2 linked regions of the Xenopus tropicalis genome follow. The protein of the gene in region 1 purifies or fractionates together with the protein of each later gene. This does not show direct contact. Links are inferred from orthologs where the notes say so. Each region holds a gene or a part of one and is shown on either strand. Other genes may lie near its edges. The genes, in order: eya2 and acad9.

Region 1 (10,816 bases):
CACTGTATCGTTTTAGTCTGCGGCAGGCTACTAATCAGCCATGCAGCATATTCCATATAAAAGGTTTTGTTTGCAACCCTATATTCTGGGAAAGAAAAGAAAACTGCAAATATGGCTGCAAGCCCTATTCTTGAATATGTGGGTTATGTACTAGCATGGGGCAAAGTTTGCACCTCTGCTGGTAACTGGCCAACTAACAAGCAGCTTTAACTGCTCTGATTCAGGCAGAATTATGACAAACGTATGTTTTGCACATCTCTACATAACCCCCAAGGCCTACTAGAAAAACTGTAGGAAGGTTTAGACAAATTTCAGCGCTTGGCAAATACATGTGAACTGTCTATCATGGAACCTTCCAGCTAGCTAAGCATGCTGGGATCTGTAGGTCACAACAGCTAAAGCTTTACAAACGGGTGATTATTTTCTAGCGGGGCTAAATATTAATATTATGCAAAATGTGCTGAGTTGTGTTCTCTTTTTTTTTTTGTCTTCTTAGGTTTAATCGGAGCTCCAAAGAGGGAAACATGGCTTCAGCTAAGAGCAGAAATGGAGGCCTTGACTGATCTGTGGCTGACTCATGCACTTAAAGCATTGAATCTAATACACTCTAGGTAAGGGCAGGAAGGCATATCTGTGCCTAGTCCCATAGGGGTTGCATTCTTCAATAGGCTTTTTAATAATAATACTCAGTAGAACCTATGGGAGTATAAATACGTATTATCAGGCTTTGTAAAATCCAATATACTGGATGGAACTTTGCTTAGACAGCAGATAAATGATGGCTGAATATAACATGTCATAGCAAGATGGAGTCTCTGACTTTAGTTTTAGTGTAGGGTAGAGAAATTGTTTCCAGGGTGTTTGTATGGTACAAGTATGGGGTCCCTTATCCAGAAAGCTCTGAAATACGGAAAGCCCGTCTCCAAAAGACTCCATTTTAATCAAATAATTCAGAATTTTAAAACTGATCTCTTTTTTCTTTGTAATAATAAAACAGTACCTGTACTTGATCCCAACTAAGATATAATTACCCCTTATTGGGGGCAGAACAGCCCTATTGGGTTTATTTAATGGTTAAATGATTCCCTTTTCTCTGTAATAATAAAACAGTACCTGTACTTGATCCCAACTAAGATATAATTACCCCTTATTGGGGGCAGAACAGCCCTATTGGGTTTATTTAATGGTTAAATGATTCCCTTTTCTCTGTAATAATAAAACAGTACCTGTACTTGATCCCAACTAAGATATAATTACCCCTTATTGGGGGCAGAACAGCCCTATTGGGTTTATTTAATGGTTAAATGATTCCCTTTTCTCTGTAATAATAAAACAGTACCTGTACTTGATCCCAACTAAGATATAATTACCCCTTATTGGGGGCAGAACAGCCCTATTGGGTTTATTTAATGGTTAAATGATTCCCTTTTCTCTGTAATAATAAAACAGTACCTGTACTTGATCCCAACTAAGATATAATTACCCCTTATTGGGGGCAGAACAGCCCTATTGGGTTTATTTCATGGTTAAATGATTCCCTTTTCTCTGTAATAATAAAACAGTACCTGTACTTGATCCCAACTAAGATATAATTACCCCTTATTGGGGGCAGAACAGCCCTATTGGGTTTATTTAATGGTTAAATGATTCCCTTTTCTCTGTAATAATAAAACAGTACCTGTACTTGATCCCAACTAAGATATAATTACCCCTTATTGGGGGCAGAACAGTCCTATTAGGTTTATTTAATGGTTAAATGATTCCCTTTTCTCTGTAATAATAAAACAGTACCTGTACTTGATCCCAACTAAGATATAATTACCCCTTATTGGGGGCAGAACAGCCCTATTGGGTTTATTTCATGGTTAAATGATTCCCTTTTCTCTGTAATAATAAAACAGTACCTGTACTTGATCCCAACTAAGATATAATTACCCTTTATTGGGTTTAATTAAGGTTTTATTAAGGTCCCTAGCATTCTGGATAATGGGCCCTATACCTGTACTTAAATAATCCCAATAATAAATATTTCTGATTGTATTTCTCTATTACTTTTCCCTTCCCAGGCCCAACTGTGTGAATGTTCTAGTAACCACCACGCAGCTTATACCGGCCATCGCCAAGGTGCTGCTCTACGGCCTCGGCACGGTCTTTCCTATTGAAAACATTTACAGCGCAACAAAGACAGGTAAGTGGAACTTTATTAAACCATCGCTGCTTTTCCCCTCCCAAGCTTCTTTATTTTGTTTTCAGAATTTTTATTATGTTTTCATGTCTCCTATATGCTGGTTTGATTTATATTATGATGATTATTTTGTAATATTCTGATCTCACGCTGCTAAATGAACCTCCAAACATATATATTTCCTTTATTACTTGTAAGCTAAGGACGCCGGCATTAATTTATGGCTGGGAAACGTCTCCAGTGAGATTCTGTTACCAGGAACAGTTTATCAGAATCGCCGCGGTCTCTGGTTTTTTTTTTTTTTTTAATATCATATGCGAAATAAAAAAAGGCGGAATATAAACAGAGAACGAAGGAGTTTTTGCTTCAAGAGGATTTAATGATTTTTTGTTCTTTTTATATAAAAAAACACTTTTGTGGCACATTTTATTTCACATTTAGAATAGTCATTACTCTTTTTTTTTCTGCCGGGTCCATGCAGGGAAGGAGTGCTGCTTCGAGAGGATAATGCAGCGATTTGGGAGAAAAGCTGTGTATGTTGTAATCGGAGACGGCGTGGAAGAGGAGCAAGCGGCAAAAAAGGTAGATGTAGTAAATACCCATATGTTCATACCCGTGCGTATGTCATTATTTATTTAGGGTTTATTTTAACCATATGCCCTTTGACTTTTTGACTTCCATACTCAGCAAAGCTTTATTATCTGGGTTCCTGGCTTATAAAAAGCATCACATTTTTTAAAACTACAATATCCTTCCCAATTGCTATGGCGAATCTCTTTGCTTTAGCCCCGCCCCCAAAAACCACTAAACAATTAAACAAAACTCTACCAGATACGACGATTTGGTTTGTTTTGTTTTCTAAATTGTCATTTTTGAATTTTTTCTAATTTCTTTTTTTACGCCAAAATAGTAATTAATAGTAGTAAATAGATTTTTTTTTTTTAAAGTCATGAAAATGTAAAAAAAAACATATTTTATAATGATTTGTTTAAAATCATCCACCCTAATGTAATTTAATGTTAGAAGATTCTCCAAGGTAAATAAAACCCATTTACAGTTGAATTCAGGGTCGGACTGGGCCGCCGGGGCACTGGGAAGAGCCAATCGCTGTTGCCGCTCTGCCCTGCGGGGGGTTAGGGTGGCGCAGTGGGGGCCCCTGTGGAGGGTGAGGGGCCCCTGGGGCAGTAGGCTCGGTGGGCCCTGCACCCCCCAGTCCAACCCTGATTGGATTTAATAATTTATTTAACCATAAAAGCATTTAATTTTTTTCTTTTTTAGCTTTTTTTCCAGTTCCTGCACTTTCTAGTTTTATTGTAGGAAACTGAGGGAATTATCAGAGCTGTCAAGGAGGGGGTGGGGCCAATTGCCCAAATACTGACTCACAAAACTCAAGGGGTTAAGAGATCCTACACCCAGAATCAGCAATTCAACCCAACTGAAAGCGTCTTTACAATTATAGAAGAAAAATATGATTGGGATAAATTGGAAATTTGATTATATGCGGGTATGGGATCCCTTTTACGGAAACCTGTCATCCAGAAAGCTCTGAATTAGGAGGAGGCCATCTCCCATTTTAAGCAAATATTTTTTATTTTTAAAACTATTTCCTGTTTCTCTGTAATTATAAAACGGCACCTCGTACTTGATGGGATTTAAGCTGCATGAACATTCCTATTGGGTTTATTTCATTTTTATATTTTTTAAATTTGGATATAGTGATCCATACTCAGAAGAAGAAGGCAAATAATGAAAGAACTATTAATAATAAATAATAAAGACCAATTGAAAAGTTGCTTAGACTTGGCCATTCTATAACATCTATCTAAATGTTTATCTACCTATCTGTTCATCTATCTTTCTTTTATTTATGTATCCACTATCTATCTACTATCTATCTATCATCTATCATCTATCTACTGTATCTATCATCTATCTATCTATCTATCTATCATCTATCTACTGTATCTATCATCTATCTATCTATCATCTATCTATCTATCTATCTATCTATCTATCTATCTATCATCTATCTATAATCTATCTATATATCATCTATCTATCATCTATCTATTATCGATCTATCTATCTATCTATCATCTATCGATCTATCATCTACCTATCTATCTATATATCTATCTACCTATCTATCATCTATCTATCATCTATCTATCATCTATCATCTATCTATCTATTGCCTAACTTAATACAAGTGCCCATAATGTCTTAAAGATCGATAGTATATATATACACAGTATTACTAGATTGCTAGCTACCCCTATAGCAGTGCCAAATATGAGTGCAAATGGATTATCTAGTAGTATTTAAACCATAAATATTCCAAAAACACAAATAAATCACTTTGTACATTAAATAAAACAATTGAATGAATGAGACTTCATTTGGCCCTAAGTAGGTTTATTCTGTGCCGGCTGTATGGGGAATTCAACGCTGATGCATCAAAGATGAGGCTTCTCTTTGAAAGCAATGACCCGGATCTGAGTTGTGTTTCTCTGAGCTGCAGGTTAAAAGGCTTCGTGCTTCTATTTCCCCAAACATTCCTTTCCGCAGCTGTCAGGCGCGGTGATGGATGAGGCTCATTTTCTGAAGCTTTAGCGCCCCTCAAATCATCATACATCAACAAACCAACTGGCTTTTATTCATGGCAATCACAGTCATGCAGGAGGCTTTCCCTTCCACCAGCAATGTGGCTTCTACTATCTATTGTGTTGCTCAACATAGTTTTAGAGTTATCATTCCGGAACCTCAAGGAAGAAATGGCCTGTGAAGCCACGGAACGTCATCCATGAGATGAATCCAACGCAGCCTTAAGCTCCCATCCCAGGCTGAGACTGAGTCTTATATGATAGAAGCCATGAATAAGATGTAAAATATATCCTTATAAATGGTACTTAGTGATGTCATCAGTTATAATTAGTACTTTGTGAGGTCACTTGTGTCAAACAATTCATTGAAACGAGTATATTATACACAACTGATTTCTCTTTTGTTGGAAAATATGGCAGTTTATCGTTATCCTGGAGTTCTGTGACCCATGCCAATGCACTCAACTGGTAGCCATCAGGCTTTATTGGTTCATTAACTCTTTGGTGACTTCTAATATCCATATATTTTACAATAGGGGTGTATTTAGTCGCATATTTATGCTCTAAAGCAGTGATGCCCAACCACTGCCATTATAAATCTTGCTTCCAGGGGCCTTACAGCAGCTGCTTGTTATTGAATTCCTGGTTTGGGGACAGGTTCCGGAGGCACAAAAAGACCAAGACCAAAGAGCGCCTCCTGCAGGCTGGTAGTCAATAACAGGCTACCAATATGCCACCCATTTGGCAACCATTGAACTTTTTTCATGCTTGTGTCAGCACCCCAACACTTTGAGTTTGACTTATGGATAACGAAAAGTATAGGGCCCCCCTGTTTTAATAGAAAAATGCCCTCTAGTGGCCGAATAATTTTGAAAATGGATCTACTGGGTTTCACCTTTTAACAATTCCCCTTTTTCCCCCATTCCAGCACAACATGCCATTCTGGAGAATCTCTTGCCACGCCGATCTGGAAGCATTGCGGCATGCTCTAGAACTGGAGTACTTGTAGCAGGCTGGAGGAGTTCCGTGCTGGTCGTTAGCAGGCCCCTCCCTCAGCAAGTCTCTCAACTAGAACTTTCTCAGTTGGTTAGGAACACCGGCTTGCTTCTTCCAAGGACAGCCCTAGGGAAACTCCACCAGGCGGAAGGGTTGCTCGGAGAGTCCAGCCCAACCCAGAACTTGTATAATTTAATCAGATGCTTATTGCTGAACCTGGACTACTAGTGCGGGTTTATCCACCCTCCACGGACTATTTATAAGCACAAATGGACTTGATGGCGCAAAGGATCAACTTTAAAGAAATAAGTATTGGCCACACAGATAGACTGGCCGAGCCCACTACCCAATGGATTGCCCACCATGGAACTTAACTGAGTCAAATTGTTGATTTCTTTTTTTTTTTTTTTTGTATGTTTTTTTTTCTAATTTATGGACTTCTTTCAATTTTTTTTTCCTGTCATTATGCTCCTTTTCCTGAGTTTTTATCTGTCAGAGTGGGAGGGCGGGTGTATGTCGATCTTATTTAATAATTTTTTCTTCACGGCAAAGGCTGGGGACAATCAGGTTGTGTACATTAGTAATGGTTGGTACAAATTACTATAGTTATGTTTGAACATTGTATAGATGGTATGTGGACTGTGCATGCGTCTACGCCGTGCCTTATGCTGCCATCTTTCTTTTTTTTTTATATAGGTAAAACAAAAAAAAAAAATATGTTGTCATGAATGAAAGGCATTAAAGAAAACTACGTTTACATTTTGGGGAAATTCATACCCAGCTTGTAGTGTTTCCTTATTGGTTTGCACTTATATCTCCTGGGAATCGGATCATCTCTTGCCTGGAATATTCCGTTACCAGTCATAGATGTAGTGGGACAGCTAGAGGCCTATAGTGGTGGTGGTACATTTGGTGCAGGGTATCTTAAGGTGGCCATACACGGGCAAAGTTTAGCTGCTGATTCAGGTCCTTTAGACCAAATTGGCAGCTTATCTGCCCGTGTATGGGCACCCCCGACGGTCCTACCCTACCGAGATCTGCCCAAAAATTGGGTAGATCTCGATCAGGCAGGTTTGATTTTCCATCGGATCGGGGGCTGCATCTGATTGTTGATGTGGTCCTCGGCCCGACATGTCTATGCCCTAGGGCCAAATAGCCGAATTAGCTCAATGTTGCCCACCTTAGATGGACATATCAGGAGAAGATCCCCTTGTTTGGCAGTGCATGGCCACCTTTACACAATCCCAACCCCTATGTATCGACCTACATAATGAACAGTATTCAGATACCTTCCTGTCCAACATCCCATTCACTATGAAGTCTTTCCTCCCTAAACTAGCCCATGTCTTTTGGGAAGTTCCCCACTGGATGTTGGAACATTGTTGCTGGGAGTTGCTCCCATTCAGCCACAAGAACATTAGTGAGGTTGGGAAATGATGTTGGGGATCAGACCCGGCTCACAGTTAGGGTTCCAATTCATCCCAAAGTGGTTCGGTTGTGTTGAAACCAGAGTTCTGTGCAGGCCAGTTAGGTTCTTGCACTTCCGTCTCAGCAAACCCATTATGTACGGAACATGTGGGCATTATTGTGCTGAAACAGCAAAGGGCTTTCCCCAAACTGTTCCACAAAATAGGAAGCATAGAATTGTCAGTAATGTCATTGTACCTTGTAGCCTTAGGCTGATGACAGACTGGGCTGATATTTTCGGCAAGAGGAAAAACGATTGGTGAAAATACAGCCCTACACCTGCTACTTGTGCCTGCACCCGAATGAATAAGATACGCTCAGGTGCAGGCACAATAAGCCGATATACGCAAAAAAACATGAGATAATGCAAAGTCTTGCGTTGTCTTGCGTATATCGGCTACTTGTGCCTGCACCTGAGCGTATCTTATTTATTCGGGTGCAGGCACAAGTAGCAGGCATAGGGCTGTATTTTCGCCAATCGTTTTTCCTCTTGCCGAAAATATCAGCCCTACGCCACGTCTGGCATCAGCCTTAAGGTTTGAATTCACTTGAACCAGGGGCCCAAGTCCAAATCAAGACTATTGTTCCTCCACCAAATCTTACCATTGCTTTCAGGAAGGTAGTGTTACATTCATAGAAGCTAGAGCATAACAAAGCAAAGGGAACCAGTTAGATCTAATGGGACATTAAAAAAGGCCTATTACCTCTTTAACCTAACAGCCAGCAATTAAATGTGTTGGTTTAATCCTGGCGTGGGGGGGTGTTAGACAATAATATTTTAGTTTGGGGATTACGCGTGGGAAAGAGCCAGACGCGCATGGTTGGTTGCCTTTGGGCTGAGAAGGTGTGAGATCAGTACAGACTTGTTCCACTCTCTAACAAACAAGAGCCTGATGATTTTGTGATGGACGTAATGGCTGAGACCAGGAAGCCCTTATAGCGCGGCTTGGGATAATCGCTCTCTCCCGCAGACTTCACTCGCCATCTGGGATCACTTAACCCTCTTTGCTCTGAAAGACTGAGTAAGATTCTAACACGTTGCAAAATTCCAGTCTGGTCTGATAATTAAAACAACAAAAACAAGGATCAAGCCCAGTTTGGAATTGGACTATGCCGTTTGGCACCTTTTTGCCATGGTATTTTACCCACAATCCTTTTCTTTCCGAGAATGTCAATGTCGGGCGCTTCCTGTGAATATAAGGCAGAGGTGCAATTCTTCTGCCTATTTACAAATCAAGGCCCATCATTGGCCTTCAAAATGCTACATGGGTGTGCAGAGTCGGAACTAGGGGTGGGCAGGGTAGGCCAGGTGGCCTGGTTGCACTGATGCTGGATGAGGGCACAACCCTGACCTGGTTGGTTTCAGGTAAAAAGTAAAGTGTTCCCTTGTGCCCACAGCCTGGCACAATGCCCTTGCCCAATCACTGCCCTTGCCCAATCACTGCCCTTGCCCAATCAATATGCATAAAAGCCAGGGAAGGCACAGTAGGCACAGTTATATGGGCATCAGACGGAGGAGCAAACACTTTACTGCTGTGGCCCAATATGTCCTTTGTGCTTTCACTTAGACCTCGGAGAACGTCCTGGGATTCTGGGCGCCCAGGGCAATTGCCCTCTGCTCTGCCCTACCACTGACCTCCACTGATCAAAGGCAAACATTCCAAGGGAATCACAGAATATTTACCCCTCACTAATACAGCTGTTGCACCAAAACTGCTTCATAAACACTTAAAGGGCCAGTAGCAGAAAAAACAAAAGCAAATCATAGAGGGTTTATGGTATGACAGGGAATTGTGCTAAAACTGATTGCCATCTATTTCATATGTTGCATTTACTGAATTTCAACATGTTTGAAGCTGCCCCAAATCACTGGCCCACCCATTGCCCCAGAACACACGGCAGGATAAATACAGTGCCAATTCCATGTATAATACCCCAGAACAGACAGCAGGATAAATACAGTGCCAGTTCCATGTATAATACCCCAGAACACACGGCAGGATAAATACAGTGCCAATTCCATGTATAATACCCCAGAACACATGGCAGGATAAATACAGAGCCAATTCCATGTATAATACCCAAGAACACACGGCAGAATAAATACAAAGCCAATTCCATGTATAATACCCAAGAACACACGGCAGGATAAATACAGTGCCAATTCCATGTATAATACCCCAGAACACACGGCAGGATAAATACAGTGCCAATTCCATGTATAATACCCCAGAACACACGGCAGGATAAATACAGAGCCAATTCCATGTATAATACCCCAGAACACACGGCAGGATAAATACAGTGCCAATTCCATGTATAATACCCCAGAACACACATCAGGATAAATACAGTGCCAATTCCATGTATAATACCCCAGAACACACATCAGGATAAATACAGTGCCAATTCCATGTATAATACCCCAGAACACACATCAGGATAAATACAGTGCCAATTCCATGTATAATACCCCAGAACACACAGCAGGATAAATACAGTGCCAATTCCATGTATAATACCCCACAACACACGGCAGGATAAATACAGTGCCAATTCCATGTATAATACCCCAGAACACACGGCAGGATAAATACAGTGCCAATTCCATGTATAATACCCAAGAACACACAGCAGGATAAATACAGTGCCAATTCCATGTATAATACCCCAGAACACACAGCAGGATAAATACAGTGCCAATTCCATGTATAATACCCCACAACACACGGCAGGATAAATACAGTGCCAATTCCATGTATAATACCCCAGAACACACGGCAGAATAAATACAGAGCCAATTCCATGTATAATACCCAAGAACACACGGCAGAATAAATACAGTGCCAATTCCATGTATAATACCCAAGAACACACGGCAGAATAAATACAGTGCCAATTCCATGTATAATACCCAAGAACACACGGCAGAATAAATACAGTGCCAATTCCATGTATAATACCCAAGAACACACGGCAGAATAAATACAGAGCCAATTCCATGTATAATACCCAAGAACACACGGCAGAATAAATACAGTGCCAATTCCATGTATAATACCCCAGAACACACGGCAGGATAAATACAGAGCCAATTCCATGTATAATACCCCAGAACACATGGCGGGATAAGCACAATGGAAATTGCATGTATGATATATCACCCATCCTGTTTGTTGTAGGACACTCCTTGAGGATGTTCATGTCCCCCTCTCCCTACACCCCCTCAGCCAAAGTGCAGTTCTATCACTGAGCACTGGCTTCTTGTTCTGTAACAATTACCATTAGCTGGTCGGTGGAGGGAACATTGCAGGGGTGCCACCTAGTGGAATGTGTGTGCATTGCAAAGACAGGGGCCTTTCCCACAGAAAATATGAGCAGATTTGCTTGATAGGCTGATTTATTGGAGTATTTATTAACATTGGAGACAAACATCACTGGTAATGTTGCCCATAGCAACCAATCAGCTATTAGATTTGAAGAGTCACCTAAACGTTAGGAAACAAAAGCAAAGATCTGATGGTTGCTCTGGGCAACATTACCAGTGATGTTTGTCTCCAATGTT
Region 2 (10,480 bases), on another chromosome or scaffold:
CTTCTAATAATCACCTATTTACTCTGTAGCCTCACTTACCTCTGTACTAGAGTAGCACCTACCTGTAACCTGCGGCTGCTTCCAGGGAAGATGGGCGGCCGCCCCCGTAGGGTTAACCCTTTGGCTCTGCCTCCCTCTATATACCTATACATATATATATATATACACACAATGTGTCTCCAGAGGTCTCACAGGAGCAGCAGCAAGCAGTATGGCAGCCCCTACAGAAATATCTATTCATATCTACAGAGAAGGGTGCATTGTGGGTACAAATATAGAACTTTACAAAAGTCCAAGTAACTGAAAATCCAACTAATAAATCACTTAATCCCCACCCCTCAATCAATAAATAGCTTACCCCCCCCCCCATTCCAGTAGGGAACCCCATAACCTGACTGCCCTTACAGTAAGGAACCCCTTCCTATGCTGATGGTGAGATCCCCTTTCCTCCCCACCCCCAATGTATCACTCATTCCCCCTCTCTTGGTAGGGAATCCCATAACCTGACTGCCCTTACAGTAAGGAACCCCTTCCTATGCTGATGGTGAGATCCCCTTCCCTCCCCACCCCCAATGTATCACTCATTCCCCCTCTCTTGGTAGGGAACCCCATAACCTGACTGCCCTTACAGTAAGGAACCCCTTCCTATGCTGATGGTGAGATCCCCTTTCCTCCCCACCCCCAATGTATCACTCATTCCCCCTCTCTTGGTAGGGAACCCCATAACCTGACTGCCCTTACAGTAAGGAACCCCTTCCTATGCTGATGGTGAGATCCCCTTTCCTCCCCACCCCCAATGTATCACTCATTCCCCCTCTCTTGGTAGGGAATCCCATAACCTGACTGCCCTTACAGTAAGGAACCCCTTCCTATGCTGATGGTGAGATCCCCTTCCCTCCCCACCCCCAATGTATCACTCATTCCCCCTCTCTTGGTAGGGAATCCCATAACCTGACTGCCCTTACAGTAAGGAACCCCTTCCTATGCTGATGGTGAGATCCCCTTTCCTCCCCACCCCCAATGTATCACTGATGGTGAGATCTCCTTCTGATGTTAGAATACTGGAGACACCCCCGTTTCTATTATTACACCCCAATAAATGCAATTGAATAATAAAAGAGCCAGAGGGTGAAACTCTGATACAGGGAGGGGGTAAATACTACAGTTGCCCGTGGCTCTAGCCGGTGGGTAAGTGCATGTAGGTGGGCGCACTCTCGGCCGGACATGGCCCCCGGGCAGCGAGACTCTTCCCTGGAATCAGCACTCACTGTATTTGTATTTTTTCAGTTAAGAATGACGTGTGCAACAATGTAAAGGGTAAATCAAATGATTAAATTCTATTCCTATATACTGTACATGTATTGTATTGCAATATGAAGACGCAAGCTGGGCCGCTACCCGGTGCGGAGTGAGCCCCACGCTGTGCTGCATGCACCAGGACTCGTACAAGAAGCTGACACTCGCTCAGCGGATATTTCTACAGATCTGTATATTGACTCTCTAAGTGTTGCTGTCCCATTGGAGCGTGTGTTCTGCGGTCCGGCATGCGTTTGTTCCATTGTAAGATATCATTCCTCTTCCTGCCTGCGGTGAAACTGTATATAATCCAACATGGAAGCGGCTGGGAAATGGACTGTCCCAGGAGGGGCCCCAGGGGGCCGATATATAGCGGTTACTGTACATAGTGTGTAAATTCCCCACCCCCCCCTCACTGACTCTTTAATAACCACGGCATTCGATAGGAAACCTTAGAATTAGCAACCAGACTGTTAACCCCTTCCCCCCCGTAAGCACCGAGGGGCATTTTGTAACTCACAGAAGGAAAGGAAAGTGCGGAACTGGAATATGCATTCTGTCTGTAAGTAGTACCTACCCCTCCGTGTACAATGATAATAATAATAATAACTGTGATCATGTGGATAAACTCAATAAACCATAAAAGAGAAGGTTTGTGGCTCTTGTTGCTTCTCGCCAGAGCGCCTGGGGGGCGCCACTGTGTCTTGGGGGCCCCCACAGAGGCAAGTTGGGGCTCGCAGCAGGTCCAATTGACTCCTCTGTTACAGTATTAAAGGACAAGTAAAAACATTTATATACAGTAGGGGGGTAATGCATTTGGGGTGGGGGATGGTGGGGCTGCGCCCCAAAATGCTTGGGGTGCTTAGTTCAAACCTTACTGATAATTCCGGCCCTCTGACCCTCAAATATGCACTCTGTAATGAGATTTCTGGGGGTAAAGACCCCCCCCCAGCTGGCATATAGGGAGGAAGATAAAGCTGGCATTTAGTGTTGTTTCCATGGTGAAGTTCCCTGTTCCGGGGGGGCACGCAGGGGCTCAGGATTGGAAGTGATTGCTGGGAAATAAAGGCAAAACCCTGAAAGTCCCATTAAAATAAGAAAACGGGCCACAGGGGGCAATTACTCCTGCAGAAGGGTAAATGCACCAGGAGAGACTGCTGTTTTGTCCATAGTACCCCATGTACCTCTACAGGGCTATTATTTACCACCTGGGGGCTTTTACCTGTACATTGAAGAGCTGTTTGTGCTTAGGGGCATATTCTTGTATTGCCTGAGGGCACGTGCCTGGGGCAGCAGCTTCAGGGGGGGGCACTTACATAGGCAAAAAAATTCCTTATCAATTCCCAATCAGAGAAATCAATTCTCCCCCAATAAAGTCTGGGGCGCACTCATTTACTCCTTTGCTCCTTTCCCTGTGTCCCCAGGGGTGTCATTGGCCAGGGCCCCTAGGGCTGGGGACCAATGGGCAATACTCTATAATGACATACAGTCAGGTTCCTGTGGGCATACAGGGTGCTTATGTACTGGGGGGGTTATGGCAAGGGAGCAGCAGGGGATTGTGGGAGCAGAGTTGCCGCTAGTTGATTGGTGCTGCAGCCTGTGAGGCTCTTCCATTTGAGCAACAGATTTTATTTACCTCCTGTTATGTTTGCTAAAGGCCAAACTAATTATTTCTATAGAAAGTCTCCCTGCACGCGGGGCCCCCTGCTGTCAGTTGTCAGTAATACCGGCCCCCCTGCTGTCAGTTGTCAGTAATACCGGCCCCCCTGCTGTCAGTAAGACCGGCCCCCCTGCTGTGAGCTGTCAGTAACACCCCCAGGTAAGGAACTTATGGCATTTTCCAGAGTTTGCAGATTTCCAGCCCAGGTCTGTATCTCCCCACCAGGTAAGGACATCTTCCCCATATGCACCCCCCCCTCAGGTAAGGTCCTCAGTCCATTGGCCCCAGTGCCTCTATCATGTGGGGTACCCCTACCTGCAGGTATATGGGTCCCATACAATGTGGGGTACCCCTCCCTGCAGGCATATGGGTCCCATACAATGCGGGGTACCCCTACCTGCAGGTATATGGGTCCCATACAATGTGGGGTACCCCTCCCTGCAGGCATATGGGTCCCATACAATGCGGGGTACCCCTACCTGCAGGTATATGGGTCCCATACAATGCGGGGTTCCCCTACTTGCAGGTATATGGGTCCCATACAATGTGGGGTTCCCCTCCCTGCAGGCATATGGGTCCCATACAATGCGGGGTTCCCCTACCTGCAGGCATATGGGTCCCATACAATGCGGGGTTCCCCTACCTGCAGGCATATGGGTCCCATACAATGCGGGGTTCCCCTACCTGCAGGCATATGGGTCCCATACAATGCGGGGTTCCCCTACCTGCAGGTATATGGGTCCCATACAATGCGGGGTTCCCCTACCTGCAGGTTTATGGGTTGACATCAGTGGCCCCAGGCCATTTAACCCTTTATGTCATTAGTTACTTGCTTATCAGAGGAATAAGAATCTATTGCCCTTTGGCTGTTCCTGCCCAGAAGCGCTCGGGCCCGGCGGGAGAAGCTGCAGTGTATGTGGCGAATCTCTCACAGTGAATGTAAAATCCATGGTCCAAGGTCATTTATTTCTTTAAAACACAACTTATTCATGAAATGAATTAGAAACCAAGTGCAACGCCGTCAGTAAGTGCCCCTATCTGAGATCCCTCACAGGCGGATATAACCCCAGATATGATATACATATGGGTGCGTTGAACTACAACTCTCAGAAGCTCCAAGAGATCCTGAGTTATAGCTTAAAGATAAACTGCACAAAATAACATCACAGCAGGAAATAATGGTACAATCCCATACCCTATAGAGCAGGGTGTAGGGCAGACAGGTTGAGCCTAAACAGAATAGAAGCCACTGTCTATACTGTCCAATTGCATGCTGGGTATTGTAGTTTTATATTTATCCTACCTGTAGGCTAATTGTTAGATACAAACTACATTACCCAGCATGCAGCGGGACAGACTTACACTGAGGGGAAAAAACTTTGGCTAGTTTCCAAACTACAAACCCGCCAAGGCTCCAAAAAATAGCCCAAAACTGTACCTTGGGGGGTTTGTACTTTGGAAACCCGCCTGGGATTTGAATTAGTAGCCCAATTTGGTGGAAAACCCGCCAACCTGACAACCCTGCTCTCAGGGTCCCGCTAAGAACAACACACAGGCCAAACGCGGGAATCCCACTGGTGCAGCAAGAAGTCACATGGACTCGGGCCAGCCAATCAGAAGGTCTCTGAGAATGTGGGCGGAAGTGCAGACAAGCGGCTTTCATGCGCGTCTTAGTGACGTATATTATCGGCGCCAGAGCTGTCTATCAGTCGGGCAGTCAGTCAGGGAGTGACATTGGGAAGATGTTCGGGTTACAGCGGGTGTGCGGCCGGGCGGCGCAATTAGCCCGAGTGTGGGCGGGTCCGGCCGGGTCAGTACTTACCCCCAAGTACTTCAGTTCCCACCCGCGGAGACTCGCCTACGCCAAGGAGCTCTTCCTGGGAACAATCCGTAAGGTGAGATGGGGGGTTCGGGGGGCCCCAACAGGCGCCGGGGAGTGAGCAGAGGGGTTCCCCAGTATGTCATGTAGTAGGGGGGGGGGGGGGCTGAGAGAGAGGCCAGAGGGGGGGCTGAGAGAGAGGCCAGAGGGGGGGCTGAGAGAGAGGCCAGAGGGGGGGGGGCTGAGAGAGAGGCCAGAGGGGGGGGCTGAGAGAGAGGCCAGAGGGGGGGCTGAGAGAGAGGCCAGAGGGGGGGGGGCTGAGAGAGAGGCCAGAGGGGGGGGGCTGAGAGAGAGGCCAGAGGGGGGGGGGCTGAGAGAGAGGCCAGAGGGGGGGGGGGCTGAGAGAGAGGCCAGAGGGGGGGGGGCTGAGAGAGAGGCCAGAGGGGGGGGGGGCTGAGAGAGAGGCCAGAGGGGGGGGGGCTGAGAGAGGCAGGGGGGGGCTGAGAGAGAGGCCAGAGGGGGGGGGGGGCTGAGAGAGAGGCCAGAGGGGGGGGGGCTGAGAGAGAGGCCAGAGGGGGGGGGGCGGGGGCTGAGAGAGAGGCCAGAGGGGGGGGGGCTGAGAGAGAGGCCAGAGGGGGGGGGGGCTGAGAGAGAGGCCAGAGGGGGGGGGGCTGAGAGAGAGGCCAGAGGGGGGGGGGGGGCTGAGAGAGAGGCCAGGGGGGGGGGCTGAGAGAGCAGGCCAGAGGGGGGGGGGGCTGAGAGAGAGGCCAGAGGGGGGGGGGCTGAGAGAGAGGCCAGAGGGGGGGGCTGAGAGAGAGGCCAGGGGGGGGGGGCTGAGAGAGAGGCCAGGGGGGGGGGGGCTGAGAGAGAGGCCAGAGGGGGGGGGGGGGCTGAGAGAGAGGCCAGAGGGGGGGGGCTGAGAGAGAGGCCAGGGGGGGGGGGCTGAGAGAGAGGCCAGAGGGGGGGGGCTGAGAGAGAGGCCAGAGGGGGGGGGCTGAGAGAGAGGCCAGAGGGGGGGGGGCTTGAGAGAGAGGCCAGAGGGGGGGGGGGCTGAGAGAGAGGCCAGAGGGGGGGGGGGGGCTGAGGGGCAGAGGCCAGAGGGGGGGGCTGAGAGAGAGGCCAGAGGGGGGGGGGGGGCTGAGAGAGAGGCCAGAGGGGGGGGGGCTGAGAGAGAGGGCCAGAGGGGGGGGGGCTTGAGAGAGAGGCCAGAGGGGGGGGGGTGAGAGAGAGGCCAGAGGGGGGGGCTGAGAGAGAGGCCAGAGGGGGGGGGGGGGCTGAGAGAGAGGCCAGAGGGGGGGGGGGCTGAGAGAGAGGCCAGAGGGGGGGGGGCTGAGAGAGAGGCCAGAGGGGGGGGGGCTGAGAGAGGAGGCCAGAGGGGGGGGGGGCTGAGAGAGAGGCCAGAGGGGGGGGGGGCTGAGAGAGGGCCAGAGGGGGGGGGGCTGAGGAGAGGGCCAGAGGGGGGGGGGGCTGAGGAGAGAGGCCAGAGGGGGGGGCTTGAGAGAGAGGGCCAGAGGGGGGGGGGGGCTGAGAGAGAGGCCAGGAGGGGGGCTGAGAGAGAGGCCAGAGGGGGGGGGGGCTGAGAGAGAGGCCAGAGGGGGGGGGCTGAGAGAGAGGCAGAGGGGGGGGGGGCTGAGAGAGAGGGCCAAGGGGGGGGGCTGAGAGAGAGGCCAGAGGGGGGGGGCTGAGAGAGAGGCCAGAGGGGGGGGGGCTGAGAGAGAGGCCAGAGGGGGGGGGGGCTGAGAGAGAGGCCAGAGGGGGGGGCTGAGAGAGAGGCCAGAGGGGGGGGGGCTGAGAGAGAGGCCAGAGGGGGGGGGGGGGCTGAGAGAGAGGCCAGAGGGGGGGGGCTGAGAGAGAGGCCAGAGGGGGGGGGGGCTGAGAGAGAGGCCAGAGGGGGGGCTGAGAGAGAGGCCAGAGGGGGGGGGGCTGAGAGAGAGGCCAGAGGGGGGGGGGCTGAGAGAGAGGCCAGAGGGGGGGGGGGGCTGAGAGAGAGGCCAGAGGGGCGGGGGGCTGAGAGAGAGGCCAGAGGGGGGGGGGGGGGGGCTGAGAGAGAGCCAGAGGGGGGGGGGGCGGGCTGAGAGAGAGGCCAGAGGGGGGGGGCTGAGAGAGAGCCCCAGAGGGGGGGGGCTGAGAGAGAACCAGAGGGGGGGGCTGAGAGACGAGGCCAGGGGGGGGGGCGGCTGAGAGAGAGACCAGAGGCGGGGGGCTGAGAGGAGAACCAGAGGGCGGGCTGAGAGAGAGGCCAGACTGGGGGGGTGAGAGAAGAGGCCAGAGGGGGGGGCTGAGAGAAGGCTGAGACCCAGAGGGGGGGGGCTGAGGAGAGAGACCAGGAGGGGGGGGCTGAAGAGAGAGACCAGAGGGGGGGGGGCTGTGAGAGAGACCAGACGGGGGCTGAGAGAGAGGCCAGAGGGGGGGGGGCTGAGAGAGCAGGCCAGAGGGGGGGGGGTGGCTGAGAGAGAGGCCAGAGGGGGGGGGCTGAGAGAGAGGCCAGAGGGGGGGGGGCTGAGAGAGAGGCCAGAGGCGGGGGGGGCTGACGAGAGAGCCGAGGGGCGGGGGGCTTGAGAGAGAGACCAGAAGGGGGGGGGCTAGAGAGAGGCCAGAGGGGGGCAGACCAGAGGGGGGGGCTGAGAGAGAGACCAGAGGGAGGGGGGGCTGAGAGGAGAGCCAGAGGGGGGGGGGCTGAAGAGAGAGCCAGAGGGGGGGGGCTGAGAGAGAGCCAGAGGGGGGCGGGGCTGAGAGGAGAGACCCAGAAGGGGGGGGCGGGGCCTGAGAGAAGAGACCAGAGGGGGGGGGCTGAGAGAGAGGCCAGAGGGGGGGGGGCTGAGAGAAGGACCAGAGGGAGGGGGGGGGCTTGAGAGAGAGACCAGAGGGGGGGGCGGCTGCAGAGACGAGGCCAGAGGGGGGGCTGAGAGAGAGACCAGAGGGGGGGGCGGCTGAGAGAGAGACCAGGGGGGGCCCCTGAGAGACGAGGCCAGAGGGGGGGCCCCTGAGAGAGAGTCCAGAGCGGGCCCCTGAGAGAGAATCCAGAGGGGGCCCCTGAGAGAGATCCAAGGGGCCCCTGAGAGAGAGTCCAGAGGGGGCCCCTGAGAGAGAGTCCAGAGGGGGCCCCTGAGAGAGAGTCCAGAGGGGGCCCCTGAGAGAGAGTCCAGAGGGGGCCCCTGAGAGAGATTCCAGAGGGGGCCCCTGAGAGAGATTCCAGAGGGGGCCCCTGAGAGAGATTCCAGAGGGGGCCCCTGAGAGAGATTCCAGAGGGGGCCCCTGAGAGAGATTCCAGAGGGGGCCCCTGAGAGAGAGACCAGAGGGGGCCCCTGAGAGAGAGACCAGAGGGGGCCCCTGAGAGAGAGACCAGAGGGGGCCCCTGAGAGAGAGACCAGAGGGGGCCCCTGAGAGAGAGACCAGAGGGGGCCCCTGAGAGAGAGACCAGAGGGGGCCCCTGAGAGAGAGACCAGAGGGGGCCCCTGAGAGAGAGACCAGAGGGGCCCCTGAGAGAGAAAGTGAGTTGGAGAGAGTCAGAACTGGTGCCCCCCCTCACCCGAGTCAGAAAGGGTAGGGGGGCAAGAGACTGCTACACCCTCAGGTGAGTGAGAGAGCAGAGCAATCCTGAGACAGAGACAACAGGGAGTAAGGGACAGTATTTTTTGTTAGTGAGAGACTTCCAGGGTTTTGGGGCCCCAGCAACTGGGGGGGCCACAATGCGTTCCTGCTGGAATAAATAAACTCCTGGCGCCCTCTCCTGCCGATACCATGAAGCGCGTCAGTCTCTGTGAGCGGCCGATGTTCTCTTGCAGGAAGAAGTCTTCCCGTACCCCGAAATCACTAAGGAGGAGCTGGACGAGATCAACCAGCTTGTGGCCCCCGTGGAGAAGTTCTTCAATGAGGAAGGTTTGGGCCCTTATTATTATAAAGAGCGGCCACTCGCCCCACATCTGCCCCGGCCCTGATAGGTACCGTATGTAGAGACAGCCTGGGGGTGGAGGGGGCTCAGTCTGGCCAGGGGCATTGTTATTGGGTGCAATGTTATTACTGTCCCTTCCTGGTTATTTTTGGGGCAGAGGCTGGGAATATGTGCTGTGCCCCCCCCCCCTTGCCCAGTTGTTGCCCCTTATGAGTTTTGCTTCTCCCGTTACAGTGGATTCCAAACTGATTGACCAGAATGCCAAGATTCCCCCTGAAACTCTGGATGGATTAAAAAACCTGGGTCTGTTTGGCATGCAGATCCCCGAGGAGTATGGTAAGTGCCCCCCCCCCCCATGCTGGGTTATTGCTGGCACTGAGCTGAACTGTTATATGGGGCAGTTTGGAGTAATTAGATGTCAGCTCTGTGCCCAGTGGCGGTGGTTTTGCCTTTTCTCTCTATTGTAGCATCCTTACTGTATGCAGACTGGGGGGCTTTGGGGGGACATGGTGTAGCCCCATTAGAGAGCAATGGCTGATCTAACTGTGACTGTTTCCTCCCCACAGGGGGGCTGGGGTTATCCAATACAATGTACGCACGCCTGGGTGAAATCACCTCTCTGGACGGCGCCATTGCTGTTACCCTGGCAGCTCATCAGGCCATAGGACTGAAGGTACAGGGGCAGTTTGGACTCCATGGGGCTCATTTATAAACAGCGGCAGTTACCCATAGCAACCAATCAGCAATTAGCTATTTTGAGCCAGTTGCATCTGATTGGTTGCCAGTGGTAACAGCTCAGCTCAGGTGCAAATTTGCCCGGTTTTTATAAATGCCCCTCTGCACCAGGTTAGCGGGCGTGGCTGCAGTGGGTTAGCGGGCGTGGCTGCAGTGGGTTAGCGGGCGTGGCTGCAGTGGGTTAGCGGGCGTGGCTGCAGTGGGTTAGCGGGCGTGGCTGCAGTGGGTTAGCGGGCGTGGCTGCAGTGGGTTAGCGGGCGTGGCTGCAGTGGGTTAGCGGGCGTGGCTGCAGTGGGTTAGCGGGCGTGGCTGCAGTGGGTTTTGGCTTCATCCCACCCAATCCCTGCTGGAGACTCACACTTTCATGTTCTGCCTTTGCCTCTAGGGGATCCTTATTGCTGGAAATGATGAGCAAAAGGCAAAATATCTGCCCAAACTTGCATCTGGGGAGCACATAGCAGCCTTTTGTCTCACAGAGCCGGGCAGGTAAGTACAGGGCCCCCTGTGTGCCCCCTATATAGCCTACATGCCCCTAACCCCCCCAGGACATGTGTGCCCCTAATCCCCCCCCCCCCCGTAGAACCTGTATCCACTGTTCCCCTGTATATATATATATATATATATATATATATATATATATATATATATATATATATATATATATATATATATGCCCCTAATCCCCCCCCCCGTAGAACCTGTGTCCACTGTTCCCCTATATACAGCCTACATGCCCCTAATCCCCCCACCCCCGTAGAACCTGTGTCCACTGTCCCCTATATATAGCCTACATGCCCCTAATCCCCCCCACCCCCCCCGTAGAACCTGTGTCCACTGTTCCCCTATATACAGCCTACATGCCCCTAATCCCCCCGTAGAACCTGTGTCCACTGTTCCCCTATATACAGCCTACATGCCCCTAATCCCCCCGTAGAACCTGTGTGGCTGTGCCAAGGTGCCGGGGGCACATACAGTTTAGTGGGGAGACCCCCGGCACAGCCCGTTACTCTGCTTCTCATTACAGGACAGTTATTATTTTCTGATTGTTTAGAAGGCGCCGGGCGTTTATCCAACTGCT

The links.
Region 2: the proteins of eya2 (region 1) and acad9 purify together in Homo sapiens (affinity purification with mass spectrometry; 3 studies listed by BioGRID and IntAct, with this or other methods). This does not show direct contact. The link is inferred for Xenopus tropicalis from reciprocal best matches to the Homo sapiens genes EYA2 and ACAD9.

Annotation. Positions count from the first base shown.
Region 1 is NC_030686.2:37,297,487-37,308,302, reverse strand, and holds the end of eya2 (eyes absent homolog 2), read left to right. Parts: intron 1-496; coding exon 497-611; intron 612-2,066; coding exon 2,067-2,188; intron 2,189-2,666; coding exon 2,667-2,766; coding exon of another isoform or gene 2,767-2,767; intron 2,768-5,714; coding exon 5,715-6,012; 3' UTR 6,013-6,558; downstream 6,559-10,816. UniProt on the Homo sapiens protein: Functions both as protein phosphatase and as transcriptional coactivator for SIX1, and probably also for SIX2, SIX4 and SIX5.
Region 2 is NC_030680.2:151,556,743-151,567,222, forward strand, and holds the start of acad9 (acyl-CoA dehydrogenase family member 9, mitochondrial), read left to right. Parts: upstream 1-4,672; 5' UTR 4,673-4,698; coding exon 4,699-4,851; intron 4,852-8,560; coding exon 8,561-8,654; intron 8,655-8,901; coding exon 8,902-9,003; intron 9,004-9,233; coding exon 9,234-9,340; intron 9,341-9,787; coding exon 9,788-9,888; intron 9,889-10,480. UniProt on the Homo sapiens protein: As part of the MCIA complex, primarily participates in the assembly of the mitochondrial complex I and therefore plays a role in oxidative phosphorylation.